Linked DNA regions of Drosophila melanogaster. The protein of the gene in region 1 interacts with the protein of each later gene in a pairwise test. Each region holds a gene or a part of one and is shown on either strand. Other genes may lie near its edges. The genes, in order: CG2540, CG14478, EndoB and CG14191.

Evidence for each region.
Region 2: the proteins of CG2540 (region 1) and CG14478 interact in a two-hybrid assay, tested with the Drosophila melanogaster proteins (one large-scale study listed by BioGRID).
Region 3: the proteins of CG2540 (region 1) and EndoB interact in a two-hybrid assay, tested with the Drosophila melanogaster proteins (one large-scale study listed by BioGRID).
Region 4: the proteins of CG2540 (region 1) and CG14191 interact in a two-hybrid assay, tested with the Drosophila melanogaster proteins (one large-scale study listed by BioGRID).

Annotation. Positions count from the first base shown.
Region 1 is NC_004354.4:12,626,453-12,633,739, reverse strand, and holds CG2540 (uncharacterized protein), read right to left. Parts: upstream 3,863-7,287; 5' UTR 3,782-3,862; coding exon 2,846-3,781; 3' UTR 2,629-2,845; downstream 1-2,628. Other genes in the region: Aven (apoptosis and caspase activation inhibitor), read left to right, coding at 4,237-4,265, 4,330-5,185; CG15728 (uncharacterized protein), read right to left, coding at 5,491-6,063, 6,128-6,319, 6,376-6,507.
Region 2 is NT_033778.4:17,453,359-17,462,004, reverse strand, and holds the start of CG14478 (uncharacterized protein), read right to left. Parts: upstream 4,343-8,646; 5' UTR 4,133-4,342; intron 3,190-4,132; exon of another isoform or gene 2,926-3,189; intron 1,408-2,925; exon of another isoform or gene 1,339-1,407; intron 12-1,338; 5' UTR 1-11. Other genes in the region: robl (roadblock), read right to left, coding at 5,010-5,221, 5,290-5,368, 5,432-5,434; robls54B (roadblock similar 54B), read left to right, coding at 5,844-5,867, 5,927-6,241; CG10764 (uncharacterized protein), read right to left, coding at 6,381-6,757, 6,816-6,952, 7,048-7,096, 7,173-7,778, 7,831-7,976, 8,064-8,109, 8,373-8,583.
Region 3 is NT_033778.4:19,304,588-19,314,186, forward strand, and holds EndoB (endophilin B), read right to left. Parts: upstream 6,079-9,599; 5' UTR 5,966-6,078; coding exon 5,888-5,965; intron 5,727-5,887; coding exon 5,229-5,726; intron 5,112-5,228; coding exon 5,076-5,111; intron 4,997-5,075; coding exon 4,806-4,996; intron 4,645-4,805; coding exon of another isoform or gene 4,440-4,644; intron 4,227-4,439; coding exon 3,986-4,226; intron 3,929-3,985; coding exon 3,800-3,928; 3' UTR 2,860-3,799; downstream 1-2,859. Other genes in the region: Acadvl (Acyl-CoA dehydrogenase very long chain), read left to right, coding at 637-2,520; Rgk1 (Rad, Gem/Kir family member 1), read right to left, coding at 8,010-8,127, 8,198-8,338, 8,408-8,543.
Region 4 is NC_004354.4:19,077,900-19,084,971, reverse strand, and holds CG14191 (uncharacterized protein), read right to left. Parts: upstream 3,308-7,072; 5' UTR 3,229-3,307; coding exon 3,223-3,228; intron 3,108-3,222; coding exon 2,532-3,107; 3' UTR 2,406-2,531; downstream 1-2,405. Other genes in the region: CG7423 (uncharacterized protein), read left to right, coding at 1,793-2,167; CG7406 (uncharacterized protein), read right to left, coding at 6,599-7,072.

The DNA.
Region 1 (7,287 bases):
TCACAGTTTTGGCTTCTACCATTTTTGTGAAATTTTCAATATATTTTCGGGGCTTTTTGTTGCAAGGGGCCAATAGGAAATATGCTAGTGCTTGGCTGGTCAGTTGTCGACTGAGCTGCTGCTGCTGCTGCTTTTACTGCTTCTACTGTCTCTACTGCTGCTGCTGCTGCTGCTGCAAAATTGAGAACGAGAGCGCCAACGAAAAGGAGCAGGCGATGCTGCTTTCTAGGATTCTCAACGTATGTAAGTATATGCGTGAGTATTACACGTACACACACACACACACTGGCACTCTGACTCTCACTCACACTGCTTGCAATTTATGCTGATTGGAAATGTAACGGAATCAATCGCTGCTCCGCTTTTTGTTTAGCCTACTTCAAGGCGTTCTTCGTTGAATTTCCCTCGTTTTAATGGCACAAAAAAATCTCGGCTAACTCCTGTTTATCCCTGCGTTTGTGTGCATGTGTGTGTATGGCCAGCTGCCATGTGAGCGACTATTGCGCAGGCTTACGCTATTTCGCCCCCAAAAACGTTTTTCGCGTACACGCTGGATATCCTGCAACAACAACTACAGCAACTGCTTGGGCAAAAACAATGCAAAATGTTTTGCGCGCGCGGTCACATGACACGAGTTACACACACATACACACATACAAGTGAAAAATTTGTTGAGGCAGCGCAGGAGCAGCACACACACACACATACCAACACAGCGATTTTTTTCTTTTAAATTGTAGCTTTTCCTCTGGATTTACTTGGCGTAAACATCTGGAACAGATTTTCTTTTTGTTTCGAGATGTTTTGCAATTTTTTTTTATAGATTTTGGCTTAATGGTTGTGGGTTCTTTTTTAGGATTTAGGAAAAAATCAACGCGTGCGAACGCGTCGAATGCTCTACAGCGAAAAACTGAAACTGGTAGCGTTTCCGCGCAGTTTCCACGGCACGTGTTATACATACACGGAGGAGTACACACACACACACAATTCAAACACTCACACACACACAGAAACACACTGGCACGTCCTGAATATCCTGGTTATATGGTTATGCAAAGCACCAACGAGTCCGTATGGTTGTCGCTGGCTTTGATTTCGGATTGTTAGCCCAATGCGTTGGCAACCCTGACCGAGGTTTTCCCTTGCTTTAACCAGGAATCGATACTTGTTAGGAGGCGAAGCTCCCCAAATTGCCTTTTCTCTTTTCTTTTTTTTTTTTGAGAAAGCAAAGTAATAAATCCCACATGCGAGTACATACTAAAAAGTGTAATCTGCTAAAATGTAAATACTGGCATACTCTCACAATTCATAGGTCCTCTCGCTCTAACACACAAACACAATGGTCGTATGGAAATTTGCATGGTAATGGTAATAAGTTATGCGCCGTTATGCTTTATCCTTCTTGTGTGCGAGAGCCCATTATCAATAACTCAGCAAAGTAGGCAATAAAAAGGAGCTCCGAACGACATGGTCAGAGGGGGGGGGAGGTTGGCAACTCTTGCGTCATGTTGGTAATGTAAATGTAGTCCAATAAGAAACTTGTTGGCAAGAGAACAAAAACAAGAACAAGAACAATAAAGATAGAACATTGACTTTCGCTGCTCTGATAAGAATCTGCATGGGAAAGGGAGCAAGAGAGAGGGGGAGAGCTCAAATGATTCATCTGGAGCAGCAGCAAAAACCTAACGGTGATGTGATGGTTGATATTGAAAAGCAGCAAATGCAAACATGTTGTCATTCTAATTTGCATTTTACACACACACATGCAGAGAGAAACACATTGACAAGCAGGGGACATAACATCATCGCAGCAGCAGCAGAAACAAAAAACGAAAACAAAAACAACAGCAACAATAACACATTCCGCAACACAACCACCCACTAAATACCAACCAACCCCCCCGCAAACCGTTAAGCCCCGCCCACCTGTTTCATGGCGATTCACTCCGCTGTTGAACGTTTGTGGCGCTTGCCCAATCCAATTGGATTGGCGAACCGAATCAGATCAGATCGACACGGGGGCGATAAACAAAAAACACAACGCAATGTTTAAACAAAAAGCACGACAAAACAAACGACAATTTCTCAAAATGTTGTCTCAACTGTTAGAGCTGTGAAAACTTCGACGACTGGGCGCCATCGATGAACGGCAAGCTTGGGCATTATCGATATCAATCTTATCGATATTTTCTAGCAGTGAGACCAAAGCAGCACAGCTATATTCTACACGTTCGCTATTTAGGGTATTCCCCGTAAAATTAAATTAAATCTAGAAACTTTTAATTAAAATCCTTTAAGTTACTTGCCTAATTAGATTCATATATAACGTGCCATTGTATTGAAAAATGGTTAATTTACACCGGTGGAAATAAAATAAATATTGGAATTGATTCGAAAAGCTGATAAACGCTATATTGAGTACTATCTGAATGCCGTGATTCCTGAATTATAAATTTAAAGATTAGATATTAATGTTACTATCAACATAGATTTATACGTTCTATCCGGCCTAGAGCGTGCTCTCTATATTTTATGATTTTTATAACTACTATATATTTAATAATTCAATGTTTAATGATACCACAAATCACAAGACAATTCACTTTAAATAAAATCACACAAATGTTTGTTTTAAATTTATATTTAAAATATGTTTTCATATATAATAATGAATAAATAATAATGTTCATGACAGGAAATCACAATCGTAATTGTGATTCGTCAGAAGCCTCTATAACACGTCGTTGCAATTGGTCTATTTGGAATGGTGCATCTAAAAAGAAATATCCCAAGCTTCTTGGTATTTACAATAAACAGTAGTCTTCTATTGCAAAATGTTGTGGTGTCACGACTTGTTTTTAGCTTGCAGTGCAGCGTAGATCAACCACTCGCGGCCGCCAGGTTTCTGACATCGCTCCAAAAGCTTCTCCAGCTGGTGTGCCTGCTCCGCTAGCTGTTCCTCCTCCAGAATACCGGAAATCTCATGCAACAGCGCATGGCGTATTAACTGGGGCTCATCCTCGACAATGTAACGCTTAACGCAAGCAACCAGTTCTTCGAGATGCTCGTCTACAGCTCCCGGAAAGAGCTGATCCATGGCGGCGGCCAGGTTGAATAGGTATTCGCGATTGGGGCCACTGGGACCGGCCGAGCTGAAGATTTGCCTCGCAATACAGGGAACTTGCCACACATCACCAGCATAGGAATCGTTCGCCTGCGTGGCCACGTACATGATCACTTGGATGGGTTCTGCACCGTCAGTCGGATACTCGTGGAACTCCAAGCTGCAGCGCTCATACCCGTTCTTCTCCCGGTAATCCAGATGGTCCAACACAGCACCCTTTTGACTAGCAGCTATGCGATAGGCGACGCCATAGACACGATCCTGGGCGGGATCGCCTGGCAGCAGGGTGACCACGCGACCAGGACGTTCGGGAATACCCCGGTGATCGATGCTGTGCTGGTAGAAGCGACGCTTGAATCCCCAAACGAAGCCGCGTCGTCGGTCTATGTACGGGAAGTCCGTCTTCCATACCAACGACCCATAGCCAAAGATCCAGACATCCGCATCCGTGGCCGCCGGCGGCTCCAATTGATTGCTATTTTCGGTATCGAAAGTGCGTAGCATGGAGAATCCTTGTGTAAAATCCTGATCCGCTGACTTGCATCCATGTTCCCTGGGCTCCTCGATAACGTTCGCGAAGAACTCGGTGTATATGTTGCCGGGCAGCTGATCCGCCCTAGAACCACTGCTTCGCAGCTCCGTCAGGAAGTCCAACATCACCGGTGCTTCGTTAGCCAAAAAATTGTGAAAATTTTCAATTTCCTTTGGCAGCTTATCGTCTAAAGTTATCGACATCAGCTGTTCGATTCCCACAGGGCTGCCACGTAGCCTTGAGTTTTATATATATATTTTTAAATATTTATTACAAATATTAGATTTTATAGTTAAATATGTATTTTTATGTAATTGAACAATCATTTTATTTATGTAATAAACTAAAATGTTCATATGGTATGTTGTTAATATGTATATTTATATTTTTCGTTTTCCGTTACTTTTTTATGTTGCAACAATATAGCCTGGCCACCCTGCGCTCAGTTAAGGGAACAGCTGTTTGCCGCATTATCCATCCCGCTCACACTCGCGTCGCTGAACGAAGGAATAAACAAACCGATTTTGAATCGGAATTACCAGATAAATAACACCCCGGAAACCACACAACCCCCATCAAAATGTCCGGCAAGGACGATCGATCCAAGGAGTACGTGCAACGTAACCACTCACCTCGCAGTTAGCACCTAATAATAACAACCCATCCTTTACAGAAAGCGCAGGAACATGAAGCAGTACAATCATCACCATAAAAAGGATCAAGGGCGCTCCACCACATCGTCGGGATCGCCACCACCCACCTCCCGTCGCAGCATGGTTGATGTGGCGGACTCGAGCGATGAGCCAAGGTTGGCCAGGCGTGGCAATTGGCAGTCCAGTGGAGCAGGCCGCTCATCGTTGGCACCGCAACGGAACAGGGACATGCTGGACACCCTGCCCAGCGACACCGACGATGTGGAGCAATTGGGCCTGGATGGTGCACCCATCGATGAGAATGCCCGTGCCCAGTTACGAGCTGGCGATTTCCAGCAGCTGGCCCAGTTTCCCAGCCTCGGTGGCGGCCACTTCACCTTTGGGTCAGAGCGCGAATGGGCCAACGTGGCCGAGGGCCAGACCAAGCTACACACCAAGGCTGCCAGTGCTTACTTCACCCTGAACCTCACCCGCCTAAATGTGGGTCTGCAAACGATTCCGTTATACAAGCGTATGGATTATCCGGCGTCTTTGTTCACCCGCGCTCAGATTGCCGCCCAAGAGAAGGCCGCCGAACGGGCTGAGGCAGTTTACCAGCAGTGCATTCTGAAGGACGCCAATGGGGGCGCCAAGTCGCGAGCTCCCTCTGCTAAGTCCAATAAGGACGTTGCCCCTGCAGCGGCGGAAAAACCAATTGCTGCCTCAGCAGCTGAACCTGATGAACTTGACGAGCTATTGGCCATGACCGATACGCAACTGGATATAGGCTCTGGAACCATTACGATGCCAATGCCTATGGTGCAGCCGGCCACACCCTCATCGGCAGCAAGCAAAAACGGTGTGGAGGAATGGCTGGATTCCGTTTTGGATGAATAGTTACATAGTTCAGGAGGACTATTACCAGAGCTTTTTACGCTTACACGAAATATTCAAATCACTAAGTGCTTGCATTTTTAGAAGTAGCATCATTAAAATTGCAAAATCTAGAGTTTTCCTCGTAACTTTATAGTTAAAGCTAGAGCCTTTTTATTGTGTATAATAAAATCGTTGATTGCATATATATACGATGCGATTGTTTCTTGAAATAAGTTTCAAAGGTTAGGTTAAGTTATTGAAGATTTCAATTCTCTTCTCATCAAAGTATCTGAATTTATAACAGATTTCTTTGTTTCCGTTCGCTATTACTTACATTGTGGTCCACTTTTGCCTTGGTAACACTTAACCAAATGGCCATGCAAGAGCTGCATAAGCTCACATATGGACTCCAAAAGCACCAGGCGCTCATGCAGATGCCCCAAATCGTTGTTCTCCACCATCAGCGGACGCAGCTCATCAACGATCGCGATTAGCCAGCGAACTAATATCGAACAATCGTCCCTGGCCAGTTTCATATAATCCTCCGGCACATCGGTCTCCTGGCACAGTTGCTGGCCCTGGGCATTGAATGGTCCGATCAGCAGGATGCTGGATATCAAACGGACCACCAGGTGCAGGGAATGCAAATAGGATATTACATAAATATGCGGCTTCACCACGGCAACGACGAGCAGCAGTGTGTTAGCCGGACGCAATCGGTGCAAGTCCAGGCCCAAGTCCGACATATGATCCAACATGGCCCAGAGCAGACAGTTAGCCACAACGCTGGCCATTGTGCACAGCGGACTGGCCACGCGGCAGCCGAGGATCAGGTTGAGCATTGTGCTCGAACTCTGGATATCCAAGAGACCCAGGACATGGACGCATACCTGGTGGATCTGTTGGGCAAAGAAAGGGAAGGATCAAAAAATATATATTTCAAACATATATATGCTTACTCACATGGCTTTCCTCGGAGCATGCCATATAATTGAAGCACTTTTGCAGGAAAAGAGTTCTTTTCACCTGGGTGGCCGACGTGTCCTCATGATGGAGTAGATAAACCATCAAACCGCATACATACACCGCAGCCAGTTTATCTGCTCCGAATTGGATCCCCTCCTGGTTGAGCAGTTCATCAAAACCAGATATAATCTAACGGAACATGTGAATAAATTAGATAATGTGATTATGATATGAATATGGATCACCTCCAGAATATTGCCGGTGGCATAAATAAAGTAGCATTGTTCCCGAATCGCCGATCGACTCATAGTCTGACGCAGCTCTTCCAAACTGAATCCCTGGGGTCGCACCATGTGGCTCATGTTGTATTCTGCCATTTTATCTGAGGAAAAAGCTGGAAAAAGGGAGTTATGCATTACTTTTGAACAGGGAAAAGGCGCCTTCAAGGATTTGCTGCTGCTTCACCTTCTCCTCCTCCTTCTACAAATTAGTGACTGAAAGATATGATGTGTGCAAATAGCCAACGCTATTTTAATGAGCTCCACAACATTTTGACATGTTTTTCAAACACACTTGGCTGCCATCTTGGCCAAGCCGAGTACAGTGAAATCAGCAAGTGGGTACTTTTAATTGAAAAGTCTAGGAATTAACTATGAAGCTTTTGATTTGAATTCATGAACCTTGAACCTATGTACATCTTCCATGATTTAAAATTAATTTTTTGTAATAATATATTAAAATATTATAATTATATAGTTATGTTCATTTTTAGACAAAATACACTTTTGTGTTGAACTTCTAGTTGAATCGCATAAAATTGAAGGACTTAGAGGAGTCGCTGCTATCGGACGCTTACTGTAGTTATGATTTTTCCTGCCTGTGTGTGTGCCCGCCTTTGTTTGTGTGTATTTGTGCTTGTCCTTGCACTGCTTTCGAAAAGGCTGGCAAAATGCAAATGCACGCGCGATGTGCGCATTTTAGCATAAAAGTCACCTGGCCTCCGTTTCCGACTCCCACTTTTCCACCTGCCACGCCCATCGCCGCTTCAAGTTTCTTGCACACTTGGCGAATATCTGCTCATTATGCATTCATATTTCATATTTCGCAATTACTTGCTTTCACACACACACACACGCACGCAAACGAACTGGCGGTAA
Region 2 (8,646 bases), on another chromosome or scaffold:
CGTCGATTTACCTGGAATAAAATAAAAAGCAGGTATGTGAAAAAGAGTCTTGTTTCACACTTTGCATTGTATGCATGTAAGTATGTAGATATGTGACTGTGTTTGTGCCAGTTGTATATATCTTTCAAGCGATATATACAATGCACTCATGTATTCAATATTTTCTTCGCCTGGTGAAATCAACAACCAGCACACACACAGTATATTTTGGAACAGATGTTCGTTGAGCTCGGATTTCAGGTCCCTTTTTCTTTTACCCCTAACCGCCTTTAGTACAAACTAAAAAAAAAAAAAGAAACCAAAATGGGAGCACACACACATGTGCAGTTTTGTTTTCGGCATTTTTTGGAAATCTTCTGCTTCTGCTTCAGCTTCAGAATTTGCAATTTTCGGTTTTTGCCAGCAGGTCTTTTCCGGTACCTATATAGAACATTCTTTTGTGTGCTCCTTTTCGAGCGAAAACAAGTGGTTGAAGGGTCAAAAGTGCAGCGGCTGAAAAGGAGAAGCGAGATAAAGATGCCGAAAACAGAGAGCAGGTGTTGCAAATCCTGCAGAGAGAATTGTTTAGCGATTGGCAATCCAAAAATAGGTTTCCCACTGGTATTGGTGTTAGTTATTTTGCTGTGTACCCTCGCAGAGTATACTAGATTTTACATCATTAATGAAGGAAATTCGGAATCCTTTCTTCTCTCTTCATACTCACGAGTATCAAGAGTCTTGATGTAAATGTTACAATTTTTTTTTTTAGGTATTTTAACATATTTAGAAAAGACAACAGTGTCAGGGTATTAAGAATTCGGTTCGACGCTATTTATGTTTTGGTTTTGTTCGAACCAGCAGAGCGATAAGGCTGCGACTTCACATCCCATACTATATTATTAGCTTTATGGTATAACTTGGGGTACTTGTATGTATTTGCCGTGTTATCATCTGACTCTGGCTATGACGATTCCTATGCCGACACGCGCACGCAGCACATGCCCCATTCATAATCCCCGCACACTCCCGGCACTGTCCAGAAATCCCACCATGTAACACACCTATATCTAATCGCGCATATAAATTTCACTCCCAGGGAATAGATTTTTCCCTACTCCGAGCAAACAGCGACTTTAATACGCATGTTTTCCACTGTTTCCCTTCGCCTGTAGTCTGTAATGAAATTAAAACTAAATTCTGTTCGCCACGGGGATGAAAATCGAGTTTTCGATTCGCCTAAGGGAAGAAAGCTGCTGCCTGCATACATATACATATATCTATATCTGTTGTGTCTGTGTGTGTGTGTGTGTGTCTGTATGTGTGCGGGGTGGCTGTGTCAACCGAAGGACTACTGTGTACTTTTGTGTAGCTGCTGCAGCAAACTCGGTCGCTTTCCGATCGAAACTGCTGCAGCTGTGTGCCTCGAAACTGCTGACTGCTGACTAGCTGGGGCAAAAGTTTCACCGGGGCCTGGTCAGCGGGTCGAAAGTTCAACGGGAGGAGACCTTCGACGCGCTGCTGTCAGAACGAACAGCTTTTGCCAAGATGCTGGGGGATGGCCTACCAATAAGCAGCCAATATGGCAGGAATCCGCCCAAGAAATGGTTGCTTAACTTAGCCTTTAAAATCGATCCTACAGTACTGCATTGTCACACCCAAAACGCGAATTCTTCAGTAAGAAACAGCTGATGAGAAAATGGGCAGCTGATTTCAAGAACTTGCCTGCAGTACATTTATCTGCATAGGAAGAAGTGAAAACGTGCCAAAGTGTTCAGTTTATAGACGAGAATTACAATCGAGACCGTCAATAAATAAGCTTGACGATTTTTTCACCTATCAACATTATTTTAATCTTTACATAGTATATATTACAACCGTATGTGTGCGTCAAACGTAGCAGCCATTTGAAACTTAAGACCAAACCAATCAGATTGTTTGATCAACTGTTTTGCCAAGTTTTCTAATTATCATTATGTGGATACGACTTTCTACGATTTGCGTAGAACAGCTGCAGGCTTTGATCGTTTGCACAGCATTTTCCACTCATTTTCCAAGCTGATTGCGCACTCGGCATTCTTTTGCGCAATTAGAGGGAAGTTGTGAGTTTAAAAGCTGTAGAGATAGATAATAAGCGCCGGGCTGATTGATAGTTCTGTGCTGCTGCTGCTCTGCGAATTCCCAACGCACATGATAAGATACGGCACATTGTTCATACAACAACGAATGGTTCGAGAACCTTTGTTTAGTGTTGTGTGAACTTTGGCCTTGTGTTCGGCCAAAAAATCCGAAGAAAAAAAAAAAATCCGAAGAAAAAAAAAATGGGAAACAAAACGAAAAAAAAACTGGTTGTACTTGGTGGGGAAACTATAGATTCAAGCTCGAAACGATGCTGGTCGCCAGTGTTTCAAAGCCCTTGGAATGCTGGCAGGCCTAAAAGTATCTGTTTTTTTTTTTTTTGTACAATCTAATCATACGCCCTTGATAAGTCTCTGAACTCGGTACGAGATCTTTTAAGTCGGCTGACTAATGAAATTTTAAGGAATTGAGTCATGTTCAGGCAACTGTTTATATGCACTCAGAGAAAATCACATCAAATTAATGATTATATCAATTGGGAGTGGATAACACGAAACGTGGTAAAATACAAAATCGACAGTTGAAAATCTTCGAAACAATAAAAATTCTGTTCCTAACTTGGATTGAACCTGTTGGAAATTACAGGGCCTCCAAAGCGGGAAAACATTGAAAAGCCTAGCCCTTTATATAGTTATCTACTTTGTTCTACAGGGTTTATATCGGAATTTTATGCACAATGACAGTATTAATATGAAAAAACAAGCACAGCAAAGTTCAACAACTTCTACCAATATAAGATTTTCAATAGCTTTGCTTTGACATATTTTTTATAAAGAGCGTAGTATGCAATAAGAATGTATAGTATTCAACCGTATATAGCACTTAATCATAAAACTAATAGTAATAAGCAATATTTTTCTTCAGTGCACTGGTTCATGTTTGGGACGCAGTTTCGCTGTTAAGGTGATTCACTCGGTATATTTTCCGTAATTCGTAATGATTTTCACTTGGCACTTTTGAGTCCTGTTCGACGAGGTCGTTTTCGTGGGTGATCACTGTGTTTATGAACGCAAGTGCGGAGCCATGCGTTGCGGGGGGCTACGACCGTCTCCCTTACACCCGTTTGATGACTGCAGTCGCCCGTTTCCCGTTACGTTGCATTCAAGGAGTCACGCACGCACACACACACACACACACACATTCATAAACGCACGCGAAAAGAGAGCGAACGAGAGATGCATGTGGGAGAGGATGCAGATGATGCAGGGGAATAGACGGGCATATGGACATGTGTAAAATATCCAAAAATATAAAACGAACCCAGCGACCGACGACCGAAACGTCCGACGTAATAAAATCCCTTACGCGCTGCAGGCAGCGACGCTGACAGCGCAGCCACATGCTTCTTTCTATATTGAGCCAGCCAGCCCTTATGTGTTCAACTCTCCGTTATGTACAACAACAACCAGTCCCATATATAAACACACGTACGTACATACAGACCCTGCTCTGTGTCCGCACGTCTGTTTGTTTGTACGGTACGTGCGTGCGTGTCTGTGTGCGCGTCGTGTTTTTGTGATGCCATCGTCGATATTGAAAGTACATGTGTACATACATAAGTACGTATGTATGTACGGCAGGCTATGTACCAACGTACGTTGAACGAGAATCGCGTTGGAAATGAAATGAAATTGCGAACAACGAAACGGTGCGATGACGATCCGATACGAAGTGCTTCATTTTATTTAGTTAATTCTTAGCACATATGTATAGACAGATATATATGCACCGACGACTATATACACTCGACTTTGCCCGTGTGTGTGTGTGTATCGTTTTCATTTTCACGGAACAAATATGGCTGCAGCACATTTTTTTTACGTTTTTTATTCACTTTTTTCACGTTCATATAGCTCGTTTTTTCACCCAAAGTAATGCTGACTGGCCGATTGAGGGTTCGTGGATTTGGATTCCGTTTGCGTTGCGTTTGCTGGCTGCCTTTTGGGTTTCGAAGTGCGTGATTACGCCATTTTCTTTACTCGTTCGCTTTTCGCTGCACGCCCATCTTTCGAATTACCTTTTTTCAATACGATTTGATCGATCGGTGGATCTCTTAACTCGCTGCACACGCGTACACTGGGTCGAAACGGTGGCTGATTGGGCTCTCCAATCAATTTATTGACTATTCCGTTGAGGGGTTTTCTTTAAATGCAAGTACGCAAAACTCACGGGTTTTCACCGACACACGAATCCGTCTTCCTCGACTTTGCATCAGTGTGACCGTGGCGTGCAACGACGATGGCCAAACATCGATAGTCTGGGACTTTGCTACTATCGAAGTTATTTTATACATATTCGATACCTTCTGTCCCTGCATATGGTTTTTAAAGGATATAATTACCACACCGTTGTAATTATTGTAATCTTTCCAATTATGTACAAGCCGTGGTAGTCTTTAATTGCCAACATAACATAAATGTTCACCTAATAGCAACGGAAACAATTTCAAAGGTAACAAGAGAATACATATCTCTCGCTTCGAAAGTATTCGATAAATACGTCGGTGAAGCGGATGCTTAAACCAACTACCCAAACATCAAACAACTTCAATAATTATAATAATATTATAATAATTAATTGTTCGTGTTAGAATTAGCGTTAAAATAAATTTATCTTTTGGAGTCATTTGTTTCAATTAGAGAACGCATATTTCAGTTTTTGAAAATAAAGAATGAATGCCCCTATCAATAGTTATAGCGGACTAACAGCTGAAAACACCTGAAGTTTACAGAGCCCAAAATGTTTACGTGATGTCATTTTATGCATAAATATATTTATTGTATGGAGTACAATTTCATTACATTATAATTTAACTTTCCATTTATACGCTGATGATTAGAATACAGATATAAATGTGCAGATAATTCAGCAATAGTCGCGATGCACCATGCCATTTAGTCGGTTGGGTTTTGGATGACAATCAGGATGAAGTCCTTGTCGGGTGCCACCATGATCTCGTGCTTCTTGGATCGCACCCGCAGGAATGTCATGTCGTTGGAAGGATCCAAGTCCCTCACCACACTTCGTGCCTTGTCCGCCAGCTGACTCATTAGGCCAGCGTACTGAACGGTGGTAGTGTTGTCCAGCGTGGATTTGACCGGAATACCTATTTGGGAGGCGTTGAGAATTAGTTAGATATCTTAGCACACACTGGGGTGCAGTTGAACCACCCACCTTCATTGTTGACCACAATTGTACCCACAACACCTTTGTGGCTCTGGATTCTCTTGAGTGTTTCCTCAACCTCCTGCGACTGTAAGCCATGAAGGTAACGTTATTTTCTTAATGTTTTTGTGTATGCACAACTCTTACTTACCATTTTTTCTTATAATTTTGTTGGAAACACGGCAGACACTACCGCTACCTGCAGTTCAATGAAATAGTAAACTTTGTTTGTTCAATATTAGAGATGCACTGTCAGTGATGGCACATTGTTCATTGTTAATTTAACAGATTTCCACATAAGTTAACAGAAAATATCGATATGAAGTTTTCAATGAGAAAAAAATTTGCAACGGTAATTATCAAAATATTTGTGATTGAATAATTTAATAAGTTTATTATTTACTAACAATACATTAATAACAACTACACAGAATTGTTTAATCTGGCATATTGACCCATATAGCAACACGCACCTTGGAAACCAAGAAAACAAAAAAAATTAGGTTAAAAATTCACGAAACCGTTACTACGAAGTTCAAGGTGTTTCAAAGCAGACGAGAAATATGTTTCCGGATCTTCCACAAAAGGTAAAATATTTCCATATTGAATGTAATTATATTTATTTATAGGTTACATCATTAAATAGCCACCTCGAACTCTACGATATGTGGAAAAAGCATTCGACCTGGTCAAATCGAAAAAACATGTTCGAGATGTAGTGATCCTCAACGAGTCGGGACATCCGGTGATGAGTACGATGGACCGAGAGGATGCTGTCCAATTTTCGGGACCTTTTCAGGCTATTCGAGGAAGACTGGAACGCGGTATGAGTAAAATAGATCCCACGGACGAACTACTAATGCTGAGAATACGCACAAGAACCAACGAGGTGCTCCTGGTGCCAGACTCCAAGATAACACTACTCGTAGTACAGAACGCGCATGATTACTTCGAAAAATGATTAAATATTTTAGATTTCTCAAAGACAATTTCTTATTCGTTAGCGTATGTTACTTTATTATTAAAACATGTACCAATCACTCGTATGTCAGTAATTGGTATTTACACGTGCTTTTACATTTTTAAGGCATTTAAATATTTTAAGATGACGTATTTAACGAATATAGCAAGGAAAGAATCCAATCCGTGTGCCTCATAACATTCGTAAAAACGAGTATGTTTTTCGATGAAAAACTGAAAATGCCCACCAAAATGTAGCGTATCTGGCCATTGGCATTCATCCCTCCAACCACTATGTAGCTACGTTTCTGGCGGGGATTACTTGTGTCGGATGGATCTACCATGCACACTTGATTTTCGTTGATTTGAAATCCGAGATGTTTCGCGCATTGGCTCCCTTCCATTAGCCTGACGTCGAATTGTTCAGCTAAATCTGTATCAATTATTTTCAATTCTCGAGCCTTTTCGGCGTTTTGCTGGTATATTTGCGTTGTCAAAATGCAGATGGGTTTCATTGCTGTAAAAGAATATAACTGTAAATCGAGGCAATTGCTATGATAGTAGGTATGTTCTACCTGTGCTGCTTATTGATCGAACAAGTTTGAGTACTGCTATGTCATTTCGGTAATCATTCGTAGTAAAATTTGGGTGCTTTGAAACCGATTCAATTTGGTTGATTGCGCTTATTCCTTCGAGCACTACGAACACGTATCTGAATAATTAATTTAAAATGGTATCAAAATAAACTAGTAACTAATGTGAAAAATAGCAGTTAATGCACAAGGGATAATCCTTCGAACAACTTACAAATAGGCGGCAACTGTGGGCAGGTCTGTGGCAGCAGCGATGATCAATTCTAAGAAAAGAAACTCAATCTTGTTAAATTTATACTCATTTAATTGTGGAATTCTCGAGTGAAAGAGTATACTTACGATCTGTTATTAATACGCCAACGGCATAAGAACCAGGCCAATAAATTCTTAGCTGCGCGATCGGTGCCGCGATATCCTGACTGCAGCTATTGTACAACATCGAAGGAAGTGGTGGTGAAGCCGCAGGAGTCCAGTGCCGATTAGCGTCAGGAGCAATGGGATTGCCCATGGCAATGTCTCCCCCGGACACGCCGATTGGTAGGTAGTCATTTCTAGCTATTGTCGATGAGATCCAATCCACATAGCTGGTCACGTCGGTATAGACTCCTACTCCACGGCATTCTGGATCCCCAAAGCTTACGATTCCTAACTGCACCTCATAACTTTTATTGGAAGGAAACAATATATTCGTGGACAAGGGACCCCCAGAATCGCCTCTACAGGTGTCTCCATTTTTGGTTCCAGCGCAAATCTGTCTTGAATTGAGATTAAAGTTCAATTTGCGTTTGCACTCATTTCTTTTCAAGTGTAGAAGATAGATGGTTTGCAACATTATGCTCAATTTTCCGTTCCTATTTCCCCAGCCAAGGGCTCTGAACGTTTTCAATTTTTCAACACTCCCTTTGAGAGCCGGATCCAAAAAGATGCAAATTGGTTGAACTCGAACTGCGAAGAAATGCATTGAAATGGGGCTACGGTGGTTAAATTGCATACATACCTGTGTAGACGATACTCTCCGACAGTTGAAGCAGTCCTATATCATTTCGGTATTCCGATGCAATGAAGTCATGGTGCACAAAGACATTAATGACTGTGTGGACAGCAGCGGGCTCATTTATGTTGCGTGCCCCCAACCTCACGTATCTGTATTTCATAAATCCACATATTTATATATTCGTTTTTAAATTAACCGCGTAAGCACGAATTATTGTAACTTCGAACTTCACTTACAGATCATATCCTCTTACCAAGCAATGAGCAGCACTTAACACAAAACCTAGAAAAAAAATATATATTCATTAATATATAGAGAAGGCAAGAACAGTAATCGCGACTACTGTATACCCATTACACAGCTAGGAAACAGAGACAGAAATGCAGATATGCAACATTTAGTCAATGACATTTAAATACCTTAATTCCTACAAATTTCAACGCAACATGATTAGCTAATGACATATGTATGTGTATTATAGGGTAGAAAAATTGTGCATATACTTGTGACTGGTATGGTATACATAAGTTAAAAAAGACACTAACGCATATGTATAATTGTGCCACCGCATTGAAAATCGGATGAATTGAATATCGCTGCCATCCATATAGAATTTGGCTCGGCTGCATCGTCACCACCGCTAATTTTGGGACGGGTTGATATCCCACAAGGAGTCTCTAAAAACTTAAAGTGTTCATTTTCTGTAACACACAAAGTTAACAAAGATAACAAAGCAACCGAGACCAACGACCGCATTTCTCCCTAGGCAATGTACGACTAAATCCATAACATTTCAGAAAGCTTCTTATCAGCTCAAAA
Region 3 (9,599 bases), on another chromosome or scaffold:
TTGTAAGCTTTTCAAAAGCCGCATATTTATCGACATTAAACTGCAGTTTAAGAGCGTCATTTGTGTTTTAATTTGGAGTTGGGGGCAGTTAGTATTTATCAACAGCGGTAAATTATTAACTATTTGCAATATACAGCAGGATTGATAATAATATTACTCCAAAACCATTTCTTTAATCTTCTTCATCAGATGGATCAGATTTATAATATCTGGTTCAAAATGCTTCTCTTCCACATCCAGATCGAGATTTAAGTTAGGTTCAAATACATTTTGTATTTCTAAAAACGCTTCCAGAGATTTGAAAACAAAGAGAATTGAAGATGCTAAACGATTTTTGGATAAGTTCTATACAATACAAAAATTCTCAAAAGCAGTAACAGTTATATAAAACAAGTAATACGACTAAAAACACTCCCCCAGAAACTTTTCGAAATTTAAAAAACTCTTTAAGTGATTTGGAAACCAACTGAATTTAATATGCCAAACGATGAATACTCCGGTACTCGGTGCTCTGAGGAAATATACCAGATTTGGACTGCGCAAGTCGCGGTGATGACGTCGTCGTGGGTGATCGGGAATGTGGGCACACTGCAGACTCTCGGTCCAAAGGGCGATTTACCAAACAATTTCGAAACTATGTGGAGGCACACGATCCAAAGTACCAGGTACCTGGCAGGAAACGCCTCGCTTTGCAGGCAAATAGCGACGCACAGTCCCAAACTGGGGGCGGAAAGCAATCGCAGCAAGGAAAAGGCAAGTGAGAATGAGTCCTTTATGGCCAACATCTTCCGTGGATCACTGGTGTCAAGCCAAGTGTTCCCGTATCCGGATGTCCTGACCGCGGAGCAGAAGGAGCTGACCAACAGCCTGATAGATCCGTTCGAGCGTTTCTTCTCCGATGTCAATGACGCTGCCCGCAACGATGCCAACTCTAAAATAGATGACACCACTTCGACGGCTCTGTGGGAGCTCGGGGCCTTCGGAATCCAAGTGCCATCTGAATTCGGTGGCCTCGGTCTGAACAATACCCAGTACGGCAGGCTGTGCGCCATTGTGGGTGTCAACGATCTGGGACTGGGCATCACGATTGGCGCCCATCAGAGTATTGGCTTCAAGGGAATACTGCTGTACGGCACCCCCGAGCAGAAGGAGAAGTACCTGCCCAAGGTGGCCGCCGAGCAGGTGTACGCTGCCTTTGCCCTTACGGAACCCAGCTCCGGATCTGATGCGGGTTCCATTCGATGCCGTGCCGTGAAGAGTGCCGATGGAAAGCACTACGTCCTTAATGGCTCAAAAATCTGGATTTCCAATGGCGGAATTGCCGAAATTATGACCGTTTTCGCACAGACCGAGCAGGTGGACCCGAAGACTGGCGAGAAGAAGGACAAGGTCACTGCCTTCATTGTGGAACGATCCTTCGGAGGTGTAACCAATGGACCACCGGAGAAGAAAATGGGCATCAAGGCATCGAACACGGCCGAAGTGTATTTCGAAGATGTAAAGATTCCAATTGAAAATGTGCTCGGCAAGGAAGGTGATGGATTCAAGGTTGCCATGAACATATTGAACAACGGTCGGTTTGGAATGGGCGCCACGCTATCGGGAACAATGAAGAAATGCATCGAACAGGCCACCGAGCATGCCAACAATCGAGTTCAGTTTGGTCAAAAACTAAAGAACTATGGATCCATCCAAGAGAAATTGGCTCAGATGAACATTCTGCAGTACGCCACGGAGTCGATGGCGTTTACTATTTCACAAAACATGGATGCCGGCAGCAAGGACTATCACTTGGAAGCCGCCATCTCGAAGATCTATGCTTCGGAGAGCGCGTGGTATGTTTGCGACGAGGCTATACAAATTCTGGGCGGCATGGGATACATGGTGGATAATGGATTGGAACGAGTCCTGCGTGACCTGCGCATTTTCCGCATATTCGAGGGCACCAATGACATTCTCCGGCTGTTCATTGCCCTGACTGGCATTCAATATGCGGGATCCCACCTTAAGGAACTGCAGCGCGCATTCAAGAATCCCTCGGCCAATTTGGGACTGATTTTCAAAGAGGCCTCCAGGCGGGCGGCCTCCACTGTCGGCTTGGGCGGCACCGATCTGAGTGGCCACGTAGTGGGTGAACTCTTGCCTTATGCCAAAAAAACGGCCCATTGTATTGATCTTTTTGGACAATCGGTGGAAGAACTATTGCTGCGATACAACAAAAACATAGTTAACGAACAAATTTTGCTAACACGACTGGCAAATGCAGCCATTGATATTTATGCAATGGTTGTGACGCAATCGCGATCATCCCGTGCAGTCAATCTGAATCTGCCAACTGCACAACACGAGCTCAACATGACCAAGGCACTCACTATTCAGGCATCTGATCGAGTGATTAAGAATCTACAGGCTGCCACATCCAGTCATCATAGGTCTCTCAATGAGAAGATTTCCACCATCGCCAAGACCACTTTGGAAAATGGCGGTGTGACTACGACTGGAATCTTGGATCAAAACTAGACCAATATACTTTTATACGAATTTTAAGCCCTTGATTGTTAACCTAGTATGAATGCCAATAAAGTCTTGTAAATAATAATCGCTGAAGTCTAAAGTTCACCTCGCTCTCACATACGAAATCTCTCTAAAGTGATTATGCACTATCATTGAACAAATGAGTAACAAATACTTGATCATCTATAAATGAACTCAGATAATAGAACTCTTGAAATCAAATCACCTCTATTCCTTTTACGTAGAAAAGCTCACAAATATAATTTAAAGCACTTACCATCTCGATCTGATTTTCAAAGCTGGACGGGCAATCTAATGAAATACAAAATAAATCGAACTTAATTTGGTTTTGTTGTTTTAATTTTGATCATATATTTGTAATTATGTAGTATAATAGTTGGTGTTTAAAAATTCGCTTTTCATATTACAACATTGTTTGTTTGCTGAAAACCTAAAAATCATCGTTGTTTACTTTTTAATTATTGTATTGTACGTTTTCAACAATATTTATCTGTTATTTTTTAGCTATCAAGCGCCTTGGTGTTTCAAAGTTTTGCCTTAAATGTAACAAGCAATATTCTTTTAATTGACTTTCAAAAATTGCACGAAAAATTTGGTAACATAATAATTGCAGCAAATATATTAGATAATAATTGGAAACGCCTTCGCTGAATATATAGATAATAGGATTAACAATTTCATACTTACGTTTATAATTATAGGATATATAGTAAAGCACAGAGAATTTCGCTTGTTAACTAAGATATTGACAAACATAACACATATATAATACTTTTTCGAGTGTAGAGAAGCTTAATAAAACAGCACTTTCTCTTTAGATATGCGATTAGATTTAACAATCATAATGTTTGGAATTGCATAAATTTACATGTATAACTTGACGGTTTTTCAGGCAGCCAGAATGCATATTTGATTACAGCGTGATCTGTGCAACGGAGTAGCGTAGCTCTTTGGGCATGGATCTGGGTTTGATTATTACCGAAGGCTAATCTACAATGCTTTTACTAACCAACACGCTCATGTATGTATATTATGCCTTGTATATATTTATGTATGTATATTCTAATAAATTATTGTACTCTCTTGCTAGTGCCAAATGCCGCTTTGGCCGCATCCTTTAATTGTCCAATTGCCGTTCCCTTCTCTCGATCGTGTCTGCTTTCTTAACATATGAGTATTGCCGTACTTGGAGTATTTTCTTGTTCATTAATTTTGCTTGAGATTATTGAATGATTGATTATTGCTGAACAAATTGCTGGAGGGCTTAGAGGGTGACATCGTGCTCTTCGTCGAGCATTTCAACAAATGCGCGTGGCACCAGACCCTTCAATAGACCCTGTTTTCCGTACATGTAATCCTCGTTTACTGGTGAGCACTCCGTCACGAAGATCACCTGAAAAATGAGTTATATATAAGCATTGCTTAGGATATTATTTGTTCTTTACTTTACCTCATTGGCGCTCAAATTAAGCTCGGTGTGATCCTTGGCGTCGTAGGAGCAAAGGACGCGTGCCCTCTGCATCTGATCCGTGCTGACGTGCATGGGCTGATTAGGCTTGTGGCCGGTGGCAGCCATATTGGCAGAGTGATTGTTGCCAGGACCACGGGCTGCGGCTCCGGACGATATGTTGGACTTGCTGGCACTGGCCTCGTTCACGTCGAGCGGAATGTATGGCGTGGGGCCTCCCAAGCTGATGGAAGATGCAGAGTTTAATGAGTTTTTGATTCGATTTGATAGCGAGCTCTAAATGGAGAGATGAGCTGCTGAAACCTGACTTTACAAAGTGCAACAACTACCGATAACAGCAACCTATCTAGTACGTATGATTTGAAATTAAATGCTAATGTTAACTGGGCATGGAATCCGATTCGATATGAAGATCACAATAACAAGACCCCTAAACTGTGGAGACGGCTGTCGTATCGAATTCTATGTGAAAGTCTTCGAGCAGATTCGTAAGCGACTTGTCCAAATCGGGATCTGGATCGCTATCTAGGGCTATCCCCCCTAATGAATCGGAATCACAAGAATGCATCGACACCGAGCTGGGAGGCCCACAATCAACGTCTTCGCTATTGATACGCAGGCGTGGCTTGGGATGCTGCATTCTGTAAGACCACAAGCAGATATCATAACGCACAGTGAGACCACCAGAAGGGACCACGGGTTTCATCAAGGATGGGACATGGTGTTTTGGTGTGCAAGAAAAGATTCGTTTGGTGCCTACGTGGAAGTCACAGTCATTCTCTATCGATCGCCTACTACTTACTTGGCCAGTTCACGCTGCAGCTGCTCCATGACATCGCCGCACTGCTTGTAGTAGCGCACTTGCGTCTGGATGAAGGCGTGCAAGTGGCGCAAATGAGATGCCTGCGATGTGCTGATCCCGTCCAGCAGCAGCTTGGTAATCTCCGCCTGCCGGTCGAACTCGGCCTGAGCCACCCGCAAGTCCCGTTCCGCCTAGAAAAAATCGCAATTAGAAATTGGCTCATTGATTAGCCATAAATCTAGAGCACGAGCTCGGTCAAGGTTTTGATACCTGTTCCAAGACGGCCTCTGGCGAGATGCCATCTTTCTAAAAATTCCGGGCAGCAGAGGGCAGAAAAAGACCGTGAGTGAAAAAGCCATTACGAAACCCAATCAATCATACCCCCTTGCAATAAGGAAACCCCATCAAATCCCACCCACTTACCGATTGCTGACCCAGCATGCTGCGCGCTTTCTTCACCCTGTTCTTGCAGGCGTCCAGATCCAGGCGCTTGGTCTCCAGGATGCCTCGCTCCTTGCCAATTGTCTTCATTTCGCCGTCTAGGAACTTGCGCAACGGCTGTGTAAAGCAAATGCCCGAGGTGGCTATAAAGTCGTGCTCGCACTGGCCCAGTTTCTGTTCCGCTTGGCCGACCTTGATCAGAGCCTGACCATAGGGTAAATCCTGCCCGAAATCGCCCCCAGCCTCGATCATGTCCAGAGCCAGGTGCTCTAGGTTGCTCAACCTTTTTGGCTTCGACTTTTCAATCTTCTCGAAGATGAAGTCTTCGACCCGGTTCTGAGGATTGGGTATCAGCACCGACTCTGTGTCGCGCACTATCTTCTCCGTCCATGTCTTGGTCACATCAGCCCGCTCGGCGAGATTCTGGAAGTGCAAGTCGTACTCGGTGCGCTCCGTGGTGCCCAGTTTCTCCTCCGTGAGCTGAAAAGGTCATTGAAAACAATGGAGAGCCGTTGAAAAGGGCAAAGAAACAACGAAAGTGCTTGAGATTGGTTTGGGGTACATCTGTCATTTGCCCAACCACCGAAAGTTCACCACCACCCGCTTTTTTTTCAGCCACCCAAATTCATTGATTTGTTCACCTGCACCACTCGTGATATTGTGCTGCCCGCCTCCTTCACCAGGTTCTTCACATTGAAATTCGGCAGATTTATATTCATTTTTGCCGAGAGGTTCGCTAATTAACACTGCCGTTGATAAAGTTTAAATTTAAATTCCGCTACACAGCCCAATTTGTTTGTATTTATTTCCTCTACTTCGTAGTGTGACCCATTGTTTCTCCCAGGAATATACCAAATATACCGAAGAATTCCAACTGGAACAGAGTTCTAATTGGAAATACTACTATTGAGTAAAATGTAAAATTGTATTAATTTTTAATTTATCATAGCTTTTTCTTCTTTATTCTTCATGTAAATGGTGAAACGAAATTTACTTCTATTAAACAAATGCCACGACATCAAAGTAGATAACAATTAAGCTGTCTGTTAGCAAATACATACCTACATACTATGTAAGCTAACAGTTTCGGTAAATCAAGTGTGGTGAGTATCTATATAGTAACGAAAGCTACTATGGCAAGCTTTAAAAAATGTGAACGTTTGTACAATATAACATAGTCAATTAATCATGATATGGATGAAAATCATTTTTCAACATTTAAACTAATTTTTACTTACCCTGCTTGCAGACCGTGCACCTTGTAATTAAACCCCCAAAATAAAACACGATTTGGAAAACATTTAAATTTAACTTTTCACATTTAATACACACTCATTAGACATATATTATCGGAGCGGAAAAATTAAAACATGCATTCAATTGATAACTTTTCACCACTCTGCTGCTTCTTACATTTATGGCTGACTTTCGCTTTTCCTTATACATCATATGACAATCTGTGCAAAATCGAGTGTGCTTTTATCACTTTCCTATATAGTTTTCGGCTCGAATTCATATTCATTCATGTTGAGCGAGAATAATACACAGAGTTCTGGACAAAAATCAATTACAGCTATATGTATATATTTTAACTATCTGTTATAGATCGGATATCTTACACACATGTTAGGATGCACGTATTATTTGGGGGTTTCCTTGAATGTTCCAAATCCGTTAAATTCCATTGTGCTGCAATTGTTGGTGATTATAATACTTAATGGACATTTATAATACATTTAATGGACATCTAGATTGTTATGGAATAGTTGTGTGATTTGCCCTACACTACTAGTGTTCACATTAATAGTTAAAAATCTACAAATTCTCGATCCGACCTCAATATTTGATACAGCAGGTCGCATTGCACACGTTAACAAAATGGTTTTGCTTAGGCTCTTGATTTAGTGGACCATGTGTAAAATCACATATTGCATTAATGTAAAACTACGCTGACATGAACCTAAAAGTAGCCCTTGTGTAAATCTAGTGTTTCTTTCGTATTTCTGCTATCTTTGATTAATTTTGAAATGGTCCCGACTAACTTGAGAAACCTAGGGCGTGCGGATTGTGGGTGCACGATGGGCTTCTTTGTTTAAAAAAATGGTTTTGTTTAACAATTACGGCATAATAATCCCTAGGTCTATTTAAGCAAAATTGCACAATGTGGTTAATATAGTTTCTGGTTTGCAATCGATCAATTATATTATGAACTTTTAATTCAATCAACATTCATGTGAATATTTATGCCATTTTAAAACGAGATTCAATGCCATTACAAATGTATAACTACACGTATATAATTAACAATAAGTTTCATTCGGCGGACAAGCGCCATATCTTCAAAAAATCAGTACAATTGGTATTCATTCGTCCACGAACAAGGGTAAAATATTATTTTCTCATTTTAAAAATTATTGCTTTTTATTTGGATTCCTTTGTATTACGATTTCTTTCAATCAAAAATATAACTAATTTATTCCAGTCGCCGTATTACAACGAGCATTCAAAATTATCCCAACTCATGCTTAGAGGAAAACGAAAGAGCATAAAAAACCAATTACAAATAATAGTTTTATATTTAGACAAACTATATACAATGATTAATGGAGGAAGTGACTAGCGTAAATTAAGACTAAAATTATACACAATATGTACAGTTGGGAATAATACCCCCGGTAGTAGTCGAGTCTGTTTCTTCTTTAACTTAGGATCTTGCATACTCTATAGGAAACTTGTGGGTTACACTTTGGATAATCTCTGTGCTTAGAGTACATGCAGATTCTCGCAGCTCTTCGACTTGGAGTCCCGAGTCCACACGCGGCCCAAAAGTCCCTTGACTTTCAGGCTGGTGGAGGTCCTTGATCCACGGTATTTGCGGGGACTGCAAAAGAGTAGGGTGCATCAGCATTACTGCCTGATTCTGATGGCCTGTCGGCGTGGCGATGACTCACCTGCTTTGGGCACTGCCCGGGGGCGTGGCCACCGCCTCCCCCAGCGGACCCAGAGGGGTATTGGCATTCAGGCATCCGGCATTCAGTGGCGAGCAGGCGCGTCTCTTTGACTTTCGAATCGAACGCTTTCGGAACAGATCCCTGTGGCAAGAAACATAATAAACATAAGTGAATAAAATAAAGACTACTTCTGAGTAGCTCTCGACGAACCTGGACTTTTCGGGATTCTCCAGCTTGAGTCGTATCTGTGATAACAGACCCACCAGCAGCTCGTCCACATTGTGATTAATGCCCACCGACGTCTCGATGAATTTACAATCGTAGGCGGTGGCCATGGCCTTGCCCTCTGTAATGAAAATGGCACGATGGAGAGGTTAAGTGAAAATGTGTAAAAATTATGGCCAAAAGCATCACATTCCAGCTTAGTTGCCCGCCCATCATCCCAGTTAATCAAATCGAATGGTCTCGCTTAGTTAACTCGGAGTTGGTCGTAAAACCTCATCCTCGGCTGGGATTTGTATCTAAACATGATGCGGGGAATCCCCATCCCATCCGTCACGTCTTGTCCACAGATGTGTACACAACTCGTAAAATCTGAAGCATCAAAGTTCGGTACACCATGCGTATGGTGACCCTCCTGGTGCAAATTTTATGACAGCCTCACATTTTTATTAACAATGTGACGAAAGTTACATATATTTATTTGATAGGCAGACCAGCCTTTTCCTGGGCGCTTAAAGACTTAAGCTCTTAACCTTCCGATTTTCGATTACAGATGAAATAGGATCCTAATTAAAGGTAAACAAAAGTTTTGCGACATCGGGCAATATTTACCCCAATTGAATAATTAGTGCGTCATTAGTATGCCAAAAAGTTATGAGGTGGAAATGGAAAATACATTAAATTTTCAAAAGGTTTTTTAGAGTCTGTGGAGTGGCAGAATCACCTGTGACGCACTTAGGTTTTATTCATATTTTTCCAATCAGCTTGACAATGTATAGATTTATGAATATATCTTTTATCCAGACATTTCTGGGCCAAGCGCTCATTTTATTATTGCCAGAGGCATACAAAATTCTATAAATACTTTATGAAATTAGGGCGTCGCATTAGGTGGACAGGAACTCTCCGCCCAAATTCAAGATTGTGCGTTGGATGTGGGCGTTGGGTAGTGGGTGGCGAATGTAGGTCCTGTTGTCGCCCTGTTTACAACAATAGGCTTATGGGCCTTAAGCCTTGAGCGGAACACATGCCACACGGGACGAAATGTAATCAATTTTGCGCTGAAACAATTTCCCTCCACTGCCATTTTACTGGCAGAACTGGGGAACCCTTCCAGTCACCACCCACCCTTACTTTCATAATAACAAACGTAATTTAACGGAAAATATTGAATTACTTA
Region 4 (7,072 bases), 6.5 Mb from region 1:
CAATTTCAGGCGAATTAGCGTAATTGTCTCGCCGCTGCTGTTGCTTCGGCTTCTGCTTCTTCTGAGACAAAAGGGCCAAGGAGAAAGGAGAAAGTGGATAGGATAGAGGGGGGAGAAGAGAAAGGAGGAACAGCAGCAGGACTCAAGCTACTTAATCCTCTAATTTGTGTGACTGTGTGTGTGAGCCGCGCCCCTTTTTCTGGGCTTTCTCTAGCCCGGGCGAAGCAAAGTTTGCCCTCATTTATATGCAAAAATGTAAACCAAAAAATCAGCGAGAATGTTAAATCCAACAAAATGCATTTAACACATAAAAATTTGCATAGAAAGTGCCTTCGGTAAGCGCCCCGCCTTACCCCCAACCTCTAACCGTCACCACGATTTCCCCATCCAGAAAACCCCATTCCATTCCTACGAGTTCTGTTTTCGCATACCGCACTATCTAAGTGCGAGCAGCAGAACAATTGAAGTTAATTTTATTTTTATTTTTATTTCCGGCACCCGCTACTTGAGTATTATTATACTAAGCCTTAGAGTGTGTGTGGCTGCCACGCCCCAATTTAAGTAGTTGTTTCGGCTAACATCCGCTTAAAATGCGCCCTTCTATGCGCTTCTCATTGTGTTCACGTTATAGATACAAGCCCTTTAATTTGCTAAGTTCCATTTGTTATAACATATGATATATTAAACTTCAACTACATTCTTTGAATTCAGCTTACCTTATATTTAAACTCGTCCTTCTATGCGCTTCTCAATTTTTTCGCCTTATAGATACAATCCACTAATTTTAGTAATAACCGTATATGGTATCTTAAACGTAAACTATTTCGTCTTTAATCTCCGCTTAATATACGCTCTTCTATGCGCTTTTCAAAGCATTTACGTCCTGGGTCCACTCCGTTGAATTTGCTATATCCTATTTCTAGGAACCGCTGGTATCTCAAACTTCAACTACCTAAACTCGGTTGCTGTTAAAGTGCGCTCTCCTTAAGATTTCAACTTGTTGGACACTTTTTAACGTTTCACTTTCGGAATGGTAATCTTTGCCCATCCCGATACTCATACCCCATTCTCTGCCATTTTATATCTGTCCGTTTCTTATTATGTATTTGTAACCAATTGGTTGCCAAAACCCCCCGCTCTGCATTCACGCTCAGTCAATTTTTTGTTGCCACTGCCGCTGCTGCTGCTGCTCGTGTGTCCTTTGTGTTGTTGCTGTTATTGCATGTGTTGAGATTCTCATGGAAATTTGCATACAAATTGCGTCTGGCGCGTAGGAAGCCCTACCATTTGGTGGGCGGTGGCGGGCTATATGTACCATGAACACTGACTGGAGGACGGGGACAGATGGCCCGACATGCGTATGGGGTTAACGAAGGGTTAACACAACACAAAAAACCAAAGCCCGAATGAAAAAACACAAATATAAAACATTGCCAACAACGGCAGCACCTGACAACTGTCAAATTCTGTGGGTTACCATCGATAAATAAAATGGGGGACAATTTTATGACGACGGGACGAGGTCATAGAAAACTTTGACAGATTCAATGGGATGTATGTTGTTATAGTTTTAAAAGCACCTACAAACGGCAAACTTTTAATGCCTCTAATTGCTTGCCGAACGCAGCTTTAACGATGTAAAAGGGCACTTTTGTTTAGGAACACAAACATCAAAGTAACCCAGCACGTCAACTTTAGAATTGAGCATACGTACGTACTACTATTGAAATCATTAGATTTTATGAATCGCATTGCTTAAAATACGGATAAAAACTGAGTCAAACGGATCACGATGGGCGATGGACACAAAATCGAGGACATCATCTGGACAATCAAGAACGGCGTGTACGACGAGGTGGAGCGAATTTTCCTAGCCGGATCGCTTAATGTGAACGATCAGATGGGCGTCCGGTTCCCCTTGCACTACGCCGCCGACTTTGGCCAGCTGAAGCTGCTGGAGTTCTTTGTGCGGATCGGCGCGGAGGTGGACAGGAAGGACAAGTACGGCATCACACCGCTCCTGGCGGCCATATGGGAGGGGCATACACGCTGCGTCGAGTTCCTGCTCCGGATGGGAGCCAGCCGCACGGAGCGCACGCCCGAGGGGCAGAGCTACGCGGAGGCCGCCGAGCAGGAGGACATTAGACGGCTCCTGGCGCGGGACTGAGGTCCTTGGGGATGTCCTCGTAACTCCTGACAGGGCATCATATATGGGAGATCCACCTATTGTACATTTTGCAAATTTTTAGTGTAACCTTTTGATAGGTTCATTTGCTAGCTGACTGATTGTAAGCGATGCATCAGCAGCTCTTACAATCTTGAAAACGAATTTTCTTGGAATTACAAGGTGGATTTATATCGAGAATCTCTATATCGGATTATTACTAAAAAAGAAACATTAGTTTCTGTTTTGATAGTGGAAATGGCTCTTCTATACCGCACTGTTTTATTGGTTAATGTTGGGAAGTATTTACAATTAAGGTCAGTGAGAAACAGTAACAAGTTAGTATCCGTTGACCAACGGAGAGCATTTACCAACTGCTCTGGGCCCAACCGCCCTGAGGAGCCCAACCGCCGGCGGAGTAGCTGGAGGCACCGCCGGAGGAGTATCCACCACCGTGACCACCGCCGTAGCCGCCGCCATACCCGCCGCTCGATCCGGCGTCGGAGATGACCTTGATGATCTTGACGTTGCCACCGCTTCCGTAGCCACCACCGCCGTATCCACCGCCGGATGACCAACCGCCTCCGTGGCCGCCACTGTAACCACCGGAGGAGCCGCCTCCGTAGCCACCTCCATAGCCACCTCCATGGCCACCCCCGTAGCCACCTCCGTAGCCACCACCACCAGCTCCGGAATCGGTGATCACCTTGATGATCTTAATCGTGCTGCCGCCTCCGTGGCCACCGCCGCCGTAGCCACCACCGCCGTAGCCACCACCGCCGTAGCCACCACCTCCTCCATGGCCACCACTGTATCCGCCGCTATATCCTCCTCCTCCTCCGCCGGATGACCAGCCGGAGCTGAGGGCACTACCTCCTGCGCCGCCGCCGCCCAGGAAACCCGCATGGGCCATACTGCACACCGCCAGCAAGCAGACGAAAACCTGCAAGAGATTGGCAGGAAACGCGTTAGTTGAACTCACAAAAGGGTACACATAAAAAAATATTCGAAGAATGGGTTTCACTTTCTGTGAAAGTGTTAATCCGCGATTGGCGCACCTTCATGTTGGCGTGTTTGAGAGTATTGATTGCTTCGGAAGAACTGCGACTGTGTCGGACTGGAAGGGCGATCTTCGACTGTGGTCTGCAGCGTTTTGGCCGCCGCTTTTATGGCCAGCGACTCGGATGCTCGGTAACCAGCTTGGCTCACTTAACCCTGCCCTGCCCCAACAGCTGCGGCGCACAGTGGGTCGAGTCGCGTCCAAACCGGACAGCAAGGCATGGTTACTCACTAATTAATCCATCTCTTGGCGGAGCAAGATATACTTAAGATGTATTCAGCGCAATGAAACAACTCCAATAAAAATCACTAAAGTAATCACTTTAATCGAAAAGTCAAGGAGGTAAATACATACTTTAACATACATTTTTGACGAATATTACCGACTGGTATGCCTTTTGAAATTGTATATTTACAACTTTATATAGTAGTTGATAGTACTACTTTTAATCTCGCGATCATGTTTTATTGATTTTATGGTAATTTAAGACTTCAATTTCCCCCCGTATCTGAGCTTATATACAATAACTTTGTATAATATTTGTTTCCTATTGTTTTTAGTTTTTCACATCGTACACTAAAGGGAAATAAAGTATAATAATTATTAAATTGGCATTTCCCATATATGCCTTTGAGTGATTTCCCCACAATACGGAGAAATAATGTCACTGTGTGGAGTCTGCTCGTGTTTGACACACTAATTGCCGGTCCACGCGATGGTCCGTTTTGAGTTGCGGCATCATCATTACCATGACCATTACCATTACCATCACCAGCGTTGTCCAGTTGTCTGCATGAGGGCAACGGCCCTGACCCCACCCCATCCCCATAACCTCCACGACGCCATTCCATGCACACAGCATCCGATCTCCACCCGCGGCACTGAGCTCTAAGCTCTGCTGCTCCAAGCAGCAGCAAGTTACAAGCCCCACGCTGCGGGCTAATTTATGTCGCGGACTGTACTGTATGTTGCAATCCAGGCAGCCCGGAGCTGTCAAGTGGGCTAACTTGCATCGCCAGGTCGGTTGGAGGAAACCCTTGGCGAAGACGAAGGCACTGCACTTGCCGGGCCAAAAACCTTTCGATGGCGCATTTTCAGCTCGTTATGCAATTCATCGAAATCGACACAAAGTTGCAAAAATAATAAACAATAGCTGCCAGCAACATGATCCAATAAACAGGTAGCGATCGCACCATCATCTAGTGGTGGATATCAAATGGGCGGTGTACCTGGGCATTTTAATAACCAGGTACTTTACTTTAATAGAAATGATCACGCTTAATTATGCTATGTCGCAATATTATTACGAATTCGATGCAAAAAGTGTACTTTTTTTGTTTTTATTGTTATTAGTACCTGGAATTCAATTGCCAGATGGCTGGTGTACCTGTGTGTATTATTATAGTCAGATTCGTCCCAACTTTAAGCACATATAATTATTAGTTTCGTACGACTTTTAATCAATTTTTTTTTGTGTTGTTCCCCAGTTCCAGTTCTTGCACCCTAAGTGGACAAATCAATCTGTGTTTTTGAAGCCACATTTATGTTGAGTAACTTTGCCATCTCTGTACCCAAAACAATTTCGATCTTGATTAATCCGGCCAACGCGATCGCAGCTCCATTAACTTTTGGCCCGCAGTGGCGATGGGTCAAGCAGAATGCTATTAATTGCCGCTCCACCAACTCGATTCGGTTGCAGCAAAAGCTGGTGCTGAAGTTGAAGTTAAAGCCAACCTTCACTTCTCGATCTGATAGATGAGCCATACATTTCCCGCTGATTGTCGGTGATTTCATATTCGGCTGGAATGACTATAATGGCCAACGGCGGCACGATGCTCGAATTATCAAGGAAAACCAATCTAAGGAACATTTTTCTAAGAGGCCAGCACTCGCAGCACTTAAAGATATTCTTATTGCTAAAATGCTAAAAGTGGTGATTTAGCATATTAATCTTTTATTAAAGCTGGAGCATAGCATAGAAATCACGTTGGATAGCAAAGGCTTTTTGTTGAAAACATTTAATGTGGCTTTGCAGAAAACAATTACCGATAATGCATTTCAGTTAGCACAGTCGGAAGACATTTATTTTTGATGAACATTTCACTATCCGTATTTTATTATGATTTATGGCCACGCCTGAGTTATTGCCAATAACAATTAGTGATTATTTAACGGGGTCGGATATGTTTTATGCGCAATAAGTGCTTATTTTTACGCGTATTTATGGATACTCCATGTAACGCAGTTTCGGGGAGCTTAGAAATAATCATTATGTAACCCACACGATGGCCATTAAACTCAATTATATTTGACATTTGGAATATACATATCTATCTAGCTGGGAAATCGAATGCAAGTCGAATCATAATTATGCATGATATTAAATGTATACAATCTTAATTAGTCACCATCTCCACCTGAGTATCCATTAATTAAGACATAAAATATGCCCACAAAAAATCGCAGCTCACGAACGTGTGAATATAGACAAAATACGAAGAACCGAAAGACTTAAGTCCATTTTCGGCCCATAGAAAACTAGTTACGGCACCATCAAATACTCGTAAAAACAAATTTAATGATGGAAATTCAAAACAAACCCAAGACGCATCCGCAATTATTTATTTCGATGGGGAATTACTTGTATCTCACAGCTTGTCCAGAATAGACATAATTACGAGACGATAATGGATTCATTGCCTTTGCGATGCTGAAGCTTGCCACGACTTGACCTTGAGCTTAACCCACTGTGAGCCGGCGGTACTGAAATTACATATTTTCCAATCACCTATGGAAAGTTTCCAAAATCATAAAAATATGATATCGTAATCGCAAATATGAAAAATATGTCATATAATCTGATAGATACCACTGATGAGGGGATTGTGCTCGGCGAGAAATGCAAGGTAATTTCATACCGTTTTGTGATATAATATGCCATTTCTATTGTTGCGGTTGCTACTTCAATAATTATATGGCAAACTGGTTATAAGTACAATAATTTCTGTAATTGCAAACAAAACACAAATGTGGCCAAATGGGTTAAGTGGAAAGCGAAACTGGCCAACAAAGATGCTCTCAAAAACCCCCGATCATGAGTAATCAACTCTTGGGACTTCCCAAATCGATGGACAAAGAATCAGGCAGTACTGGTTATCTTTTTCATTTTCTGTGTATTTCTTTAAAAATTAGCAAAAAAAATTAATGGTTTCTAAGCGCACACACAAAACGCGTGCGCTGTCCTAAACTAACTTCGAGCATCGAAAAAGGCCAATATCGCCGCACAACTCCGACAACAGGAACAAAAGAGTTGACATCAGCGCACTGGGTTGCCTGGCATCTGTTGGAATGTCCGAGCATCTCCGAGGAACTGCTTAGTTCCATCCGGAGCCACCGGAGAACCAGCCGCCGCCGGACGACCAGCCACCGTGGCTGCTGCCATCGGCGATTCCGGAGCTGATCAGCTTAATGATCTTCACATCTTCGGCGTGGTGTGCGTGTCCATGGCCTCCGCTGGAGTAGTCGTAACCGTGGCCATGGCCATGGCTGTGACCCTCCTCCTGGATGACCTTGATGATCTTAACATCCGAGCCGTGGCCGTGGCTGTGACCATAATCATGTCCGTGAGAGTGGCCCGCCTCGCTGATCACCTTGACGATCTTCACCTCCTCGGGAGCATGGGCATAGCCACCAGAGTAGCCGCCGGCCCATCCGCCATGACCAGCCTCCTCGCTGATGACCTTGACGATGGTGGGGGCGCCGCCTCCGCCGGATGACCAGCCACCACCTCCTCCAGTTGACCAGCCACCGCTAGCGCCGCCTCCGATGAATCCGGATTGGGCCAGGCT